2 linked regions of the Rattus norvegicus genome follow. The protein of the gene in region 2 purifies or fractionates together with the protein of the main gene of each other region. This does not show direct contact. Links are inferred from orthologs where the notes say so. Each region holds a gene or a part of one and is shown on either strand. Other genes may lie near its edges.

Region 1 (3,816 bases), on a different chromosome or scaffold from region 2:
GTTCTCTTAGGAAATTCAGTTGTAGCAAATGAGGTGTAAGCTCAGGCTCACTGCTGGGACCGACTGTCTAAGTCTTCCCAAGTTGACTGGTTCCAGACTGACCGTTCACTGACCTGCTCTCCGCCTCATGTCCTCTGACAAGCACTTCTGCTGCTCTTCTGTCTTCTACAGTTTGTCTTTGTTAACACAAACTTCTAGTGTTAAAATATTTACCATCAGCCCAGCCGTCTGTACTGTAGTCTTGAGTATCCTATAATTATCTTTTATCAAAAATACACTGACGTCCTTGAGTTTTGGATGTGAACACTGTGCCCAACAGGCAGATCTGACCAGTTTAATGAGCACTTCCTACCTTGGTTCACTGTCCACAGACCAAGCTACCATGGCTTAAATCCAAGCAGAATAAACCTCACCTTACAGTTAATGAAGGAAAATGGGAACAATATAGCAACCTAAACAAACCAAATAACCAATAAACAAACAAGCCCAGAATGCAAATAATTTCCTTTTGTTTTTTGACTGCATAAGAATGATCCGGGCTGCCTTCCCCAGGTCTGGTAAATTATCAGGCTACCTGAATAGGTATGTATAAGGTAACCACAACAAGTTCATACTAAAAATAACTAAAATGAATTATTATTTCACTTTTAAAAGTAATCTGGTGTCAGGTTCAAGTACTGATGCGAACAACAAGCAAACCATCTGTACAGTCCCTGAACGGTGATGTCTGCTTCTTGCAGTTACCTCAGATAGCACAACACCCCCCCCCCCCCATACTTTCTTTCCTTTCAATGCAGAAGATTAAAGCTAGAGATTTGAGGAACCAAGATGGCCAGCACTTTTACTATCACCCATCAGTAGCAGCCTAGCACAAGGAGTTGTTGCAGCTTAGTGGTGGAGAACTGGCTCCAGAAGTGATCTAGTCATTGATGAGCAAAGCCCAGTGATCCTTTCTCAGCTCATGGCTTGCCCGAATCCCTCTTTGTCTTTCTATGTGGCGGTCTTTCTAAGACAGCGTGTGCAGCAGTAGCCGCCTGATTATGTGAGTTTGAGCTTCCAAAACTATGAATGAACATCGGAACTCACATTCTTGAGATATGCGGGACTTTTTGGCTATTCCCGAGGATATGTTAAAATGCTCAGCCCAGCATGCTGGCACATACCTTTAATCACACCGCCCAGGAGACAGGCCAGTGGATCTCTGTGAGTTTGAGGCCAGCCTGGTCCAAGATCCAAGGCAGCCAGGACTACACAGAGAAATTCTGCCTTGAAAAGCCACAAAAACAGACAGGCGATTGCTATAAAACTTGTAAGTGTGGGATTATTTAGTATTTAAACTTGAAAGTGGTAAGTTTAGAGTTCTAGATTTTTGTTGACAGCAAAACAAATCAGTATAATAGTTAGCTACTTAACCCAATCAAGCTAGTTCATTACACATAGAGAAACAAGGGAAATCATTTTACCTTATCAAATTTTGTTGCATATTTTCGACCCTCATTAAAATTTGGACCCCAGTCTGGGACTGTGTGTAGGCTTTCAATCTGAAAGAAAACAATGCATGGAGGAAGCAAAATTAATTTTTTTCCAAAATTAATTTTTAATCTATTTCAAGATAGTCTTTATAGAGACTAAACACATTTATGAGTAGCTAATGTTTATAATTCGTTTATCCAAAAATTGAGAGAGAAAAAAAGATGTTTTCTAAGCAAGATGTAAAAGCAATACCTAGCTAGAGCTGGTTGCACATCTGAAGTCTACATGTGCCTAACACACTTGCACCAGCAGCCCGCTGCTCACAATACACTGCCTTCGCCTTAGTAACGAATGCTTCCCACCAACGCCAAGTATCTGAGCAAGGATAACCAGATTATCAGCTGATCATCTCAGAGCTGCCCCATAGACAAGGCTAGCCCCTGCACAGCCTGCAGGAGTCTGGCTGGCACTGTCTTCTTCAATAGTGAGAGACAACAGGATGACATCAGACACTCAGGGTCCACCTGGTGCAAACTTCAACCCTCTGGGAACCAAACCCGCACTCCCACCTCCAGAAGAAAGTCGCTCCACTCCTGCCCGGGAACACTGACAGGAGACCAACCCACTACCAAGCTTCACGTCTGAGCACTGCTGAGAGAATGCCAGGCCCTGAAGACCTGATACTTCTCTCTCTCACACTTCCTGACGTTTCCTTGGTATTATTCTAATTCCACTGATGGGGAAAGGAAAGCATGGTGGTGAAGCAGTCTGCTCTGACCACACAGTTCCCAAGAGGCAGACAAAGATAGCTATTTAATTTGTATATCCAGGATCAAACTGTCCACTAAGCTGTGCTAGCCACTTTTGACCATGCTGTAGTTCTGGAGGCAGAGTATAACCTTATTTAGTTCTTTGAGGACTTGGCTGAAATACAATTTCCTGTCTTTTTTAAACAGTTACTAGAAAAGCTTTAAGTTTTAGAATTTTTGGTTCAATGTGAACGGCAGTCTGGTCTAAAGCTGAGACTGCAGACTTCAGTCCCAAAAGGATCTGAATCCCAGCTTCCTTGCTTATTGGTTCATAGGGGGTTATTTAACCTACTTAAGGCTCAGTTTCTTCATCTGTAAAATGGGTATGAGTTAGTGTCTGACCACACAGAGCTGCTGCAACAGTTAAATGAATTCCAATACTATCTATCTGAGGAGTATTTGTGGTACAGTAAATGGCACTAGTTTTACAGTGACTGAACCACAGCAATTTCAACGACATATTTAAATATAGCCACAACTTCCTGTAACAAATACCACCTGAAAACAAATACCATCCAGCAAGATGACCCAGCAAGTAAGGATGCTTGTGGTGCGGCCTGGGGGTCTAAGTTCTAACTTGAGAGCCGCATGGTGAAGGAGAGAGGCATTCTCCGAAGCTTTCTGTACTCCATATGTGTTCTGAAGCAAGTGTGTGCAAAGTGCAGTCATACAACATTTTAAGTCAACATTTTAAATCTTGTCAGAAAGCTACAAGATTTTTGAAACATACCTCTGACGAATCACAGGATCAGACTTTTCGGGATCGATGTAAGGTTTTAGAATTTCATTAATGGTTTTATCATCTGGTACTCTTTCCAAGAGAGAAGAAAAATAGCTACATTATTACTTATAATTGCTACGAAGTGTTAACTTAAAATTACTGAATTTGGTGTAAAAACTGACAAGGACCCTTTAAGGACTCTTGGCAAGATATAGCATAAAACATTCTTTCATGATAAGTTTTTGTAGAAGGGAAGCACAGAAAAACTTCCTAGGAACAAAACTATAACAATAAATATAATGATAAAAATGATAGAGTCTTTAAAAATTTAGAAACCTCCTTATCAATCACTTATAAAAACATGAAGCTGCTTTTAATGGACATCTATGTTCAGACTTTAAAGATACATCTGAGGAATGCCCAGGCGGCTGCCATGCAGCCAGGGTTCCAGTCAGAGCCACAATCAGGCTTTAAAGAGGACACCAACTTCCCCGGAATGAGGCACTTTAGGTTTTCACACTTTCCTGTACATGCACACAGCTATAGTATCCATAAACACTGCGGAACACATTTAAGGCTCCTCTGAAACAGAAACTTATGCTCGCAACTTAACTCATGGAACCACTTCTGTCACACCCCTGTGTATTAGGCAAGACCAGTCCTGCCTTCTGCTGGGTAACACAATTCTATGCTAATTCCCCACGAGGATTCCAAAGACAGAATGCACAGTGGGGACGGATGCTGAGGACACTACCTAACTTCCACGCAGACCCACACAGCACATGGTTAATAAAATGTGAGTGGTACTTGGAT
Region 2 (4,266 bases):
TTTCTATAAAAACTAACTTATGAAGAAAGTAAGTTTGGCTTTTACCAAAAATACCATTAAAGGCCATTTCTCTATCAGTTCAGAACAACCAGGAAAACCTACTTTTTTATGTTCAGACATGTGTATATCGTACTTTTCTTGATTTTTAAAGCCTCGATCACAGGTATCACAGAAAAAGTGGAAAACCGGTTCCTTTCTTTTCTGCAAGGCAAAAGAAGCAGTAAGACTTCTTGGGTAATCTCTTAACCAAACACAACTATTCCAAGAAGACATATTTGATTTGTTTTAAAACACACTCCTAGGGTTGGGGATTTAGCTCAGTGGTAGAGCACTTGCTTAGCAAGCTCAAGGCCCTGGGTTCGGTCCTCAGCTCCGGAAAAAAAACACTCCTGGGGTGGGATGACTTCCTCTATTTATCAATATAGCAAAAGTCAGGCACAATGAGCAAAATTTAAATCTAAAAAGAGTAAATGCAAACTGTAGATTTCAAGCTGGAGACCGTTACGAAGATCTGATACTGACCTGTTAGTTCTACAAATACCAAGCATCTTACAGAGGATATTACTATATGGAAACTGATCTCCATTTTCTAAGGGTTACGCTACTGTTAACATTAAATGGACTGTTAGTTGACATACTGTACTCTTGTAATATTAACAGTTCAAGTCACACAGTTTTCACAGTAAGAGAACACTAATTTCATGTTCTAAACATTAGTCAACTTACTCCAAACTAATTGTGAGACTTACACGGAAAAGAGGAAACCCAGCCTGTAAGTTAGGTTCAGGCCAGAATAAAGAAGACCCATTTTATGTAGCATTTTCTTGTGACGTATAACCAGGCATCGTTCCTCATTTGAAAAAACTGGTTCCAGGCCAGAGAGATGCCTCAGCGGGGAGAAGCACCTGCTGCCAAGCCTTCGGACCTGAGTTCAATCCCCAGGACCCATGGTAGGATAATTAACGCCTGCAAGTTATTTTCTTAACTCCTCACAGACACACCCACCCCCAACAAAAATAAATGTAAAATAAGAAAAAGGCCTTCATAACAATGACAAATGAAAAGATGGAATCCTTACAACCAGGACAAACAACACCAATAACACAATAAATCCTGCCTGAATTTAAGACATCCACACTATGTGGGTAATATAAACTCTCCTAAATTAAAAACATTAGATTATAGCTTGAGTTTAACAAGAAAAGAAAGGGGGTGGGGAGAGTTCTGCTTTTATATCACACATTCTTCTAAATTAAAAACAGCAAGATTGCCAGGATGGTGGCTCACACCTTTAATCCCAGCACTATGGAGGCAGAGGCAAGCTGAACCTGGTCTAAAAATTGAGTCCAAGACATCCAGGGCCCTGTTAAACAGAGAAACCCGGGTTTGAAAAATAAAATAAAAATTAAAAAGGCAAAAGATTGGTCAATACAATCTGTGCTTCCAACTCAGTTAAGGAAAACCTGGGACCTCCAGTCTTCTCCTAAAATTGCAGCTGTCAGTCCCAATCTTCGTAGTTTTGTAACAGTGGTTCTCAACCTTCCCAATGCTGTAGCCCTTTAATATATTCCTCATGCTGTGGTGACCCCAACCATAACATTACTTTCGTTGCCACTTTACAATTGTAATTTTGCTACTGTTATGAATCGTAATGCAAAATCTGATAGGCAGCACATCTGATCCACGACCCCTGTGAAAGGGACCTTCAACCCTAGGTTTTAAACTTTACCAGTTTCAACATTCACATATATTTGTAAGCATAATTCTCTACTATGCCTGTGTACCAAGACAGTTTTAATGTTCTCTTTCTTTTCTTATAATTTCATCATTTATTTTTCAGTGCTATTCTGTTTCAACATTTTACTTCCAACTAAGTTCCTTAAAAATACTACCCTAGTAAAGCTCTACATGTCCAAAACAGATGTAAAACACTGACAGTTACAACATAACAAACAAAGCAGTAAACAGTAAGATTCAAAATGCCACATTTATCATCCCCGAATTACCTTCTTTTTCTGTTTTCTGTTTTGAGGCAAATTGAAGTCATTGTAATTTGCATATGATTGTGGAAAATAAGAATGTGTAGCTAAAAAAGAGAAGAGAGTTTCATTTAAGATTGCAAATGTACAATTATTTATCACTTTTTTTTTTCTTAGATAAAAACAGAAAATGTGTAGGTAGCATGGAGTGCAGGTACCCTGAGAGGCCAGAAGACAGTTATCAGCTCCTTTGAAGTTGGAGTTACAGGCAGTTAAGAACCGCCCAGTGTGGGTATTGAGAACCAAGCTCCGGTCCTCTGCAAGAGCAATAGATTCTCTTCGTCGTCAACCCATTTCTCCACCTCTTATCAATCTCTTTCTAATGCATAATATAATCATTTCTTTCTAATACCCACTTTTATCTCCTGAATCCTGTCTCCCTACACTGAGGAGATAAGAAGCTCCCAAAAGGTAAGGATTTTTGCATGTTTTGTTGACTGCTATGTAAGTAGCCCCCAGTTTTATAGCTGGGTTGAATTAATAAATTTTGAATGACCCGGTGGAGGGAAACCTAGTGAGACACATTTTAAATACTCATTACCAGCCTCCAAAACTACAGCGCAAAGCTGCAAGATAAAAAGAGAAAGCTGGGAGAGAAAAGGAAGAGAAAGTAAAGAAGGACCATTATCAACAGCAGCTTACCCGGAGAGTGGAAGGACGTGTTATATGTGGGGAAACCATTAGGAGACAATCCCCAGTACCAAGGCGTCGAGGCTTGGAAATTCCAGGCCTGCTGGTCGTTGAACTGAGATTGACCATCTGGAGGGGCCTGGGCATCAAAAGGAGGCTGCGCCGCGGGAAGAATCTGAGCATCGAACGGGGGAAACGCTCCGGAGGTAGGCTGGGGCTCCACGTGGGGCTGTTCCTTCTGACACGGCTCCGTCCCCGCCACCGGGGACGACAGAGGAGGTGGTGGCGGCGGCAGCATGGCCCAGTACACCCAGTTGTCCTGAGGCGGCGCCGCTTCGCTCGGAGTCCCGGGCGCGGGAGTCAGTTCCGGGGCTGAAGGCCACCCGGCAGGAGTCGGCTCAGCCATGCCACCTAGAGCAAACAGCAAGCCCAAAGTGCAATTGTGGAACTAACATTAGACGTCACTTCCGTTACGACCATCTGTCAACGAGCCAATCGCGGGCTTACGTCATCAGACGAAGCCGGAAAAGTTTCCGGCCCTGGCTGTAAATCCTAGTCTACGGTCCAGCAGGCTGTGTTTAAACTGCGTGTGCAAGTGGGCTTGGGCTTTGAGCGACTGTGCGTTGCAGCGAATGGCTAGGGACCTGATCGGGCCGGCACTGCCGCCTGGCTTCAAGGAGCGCGCAACAGTTGAGGACCAGGAGCGGGACCCGAGCCCCGGTAAGCAGCAGCGGGCGTCAGCACTCGCGGGAAGGACTGGCAACCACCGCGGAGTTGGCGCGGTCCACCCTGAGGAGCAAGCTAGGCACGCAGGAGTGTTTGGGACCTGATCATCATTAGTTTGGGACCTGATCATCATTAAAATGACACCAGTCCCAATTTGCTATTAATGCGAACAGGACTGTGCTAACTGATCAATCTTCGTCCGGTCGTCTGTTTAACCCTTCCATCAACTGTATAAGAAAAGATGATGGAGAGTGCGTGTGTTACAAACGATGACAGCGGGTGGAGAATTTGTACCTAAGACACACAGCTAGTCAGTGGTGAAGTCCAAATTACAACCTAGTGTCTCTATACCTTCGGATTTAGAAGTCTCTCGCTGAAGATCCTGTGCCTCCCTCTCCCTAGCCTGACTTCCTGGCCTCATTCTAGCATTCCATCTCACACACGCAGCCCAGTGCTCACACAGTCCAGTGCTTTGACGATAGGCTTTTTTGGGCTGCTCTGGTTGTACTTAAACACCTGACAACTCTAAAACGTCCTTCAAATACCAGTTTAAGTGTTACCTTCCTGAGCATTGCCACCAACTGTATAAGAAAAGATGGATGGTGCATGTGTTACAAATGGTGACAGCTACTTTTAACTGTAGAGCTTTTCATAAGTGCCCTCAGGGTTCATCTTTGTAACATTCTTCGGAGTTTCCTTCTAGTGAGGACTCCTGGTCTAGACTTAAACTTTATCAGCCACATTTTACAGAGCAACAAAGTAACAGAGGCAAGCTAACTAACGGATGCAATCCATATAGTAGTAAGTGGCAGAGTACAGATTCAAAGCCAAAGACTCCAACTCCAAAGCTTGGAGCCTTTCCTTCCTTTGG

The links.
Region 1: the proteins of Nufip1 (region 2) and Znhit6 purify together in Homo sapiens (affinity purification with western blotting; 3 studies listed by BioGRID and IntAct, with this or other methods). This does not show direct contact. The link is inferred for Rattus norvegicus from reciprocal best matches to the Homo sapiens genes NUFIP1 and ZNHIT6.

The regions. Positions count from the first base shown.
Region 1 is NC_086020.1:237,163,981-237,167,796, reverse strand, and holds part of Znhit6 (box C/D snoRNA protein 1), read right to left. Parts: intron 3,094-3,816; coding exon 3,013-3,093; intron 1,542-3,012; coding exon 1,464-1,541; intron 1-1,463. UniProt on the Homo sapiens protein: Required for box C/D snoRNAs accumulation involved in snoRNA processing, snoRNA transport to the nucleolus and ribosome biogenesis.
Region 2 is NC_086033.1:57,837,676-57,841,941, reverse strand, and holds the start of Nufip1 (FMR1-interacting protein NUFIP1), read right to left. Parts: upstream 3,079-4,266; 5' UTR 3,076-3,078; coding exon 2,682-3,075; intron 2,087-2,681; coding exon 2,007-2,086; intron 202-2,006; coding exon 103-201; intron 1-102. Other genes in the region: Gpalpp1 (GPALPP motifs-containing protein 1), read left to right, coding at 3,302-3,389. UniProt on the Homo sapiens protein: Binds RNA.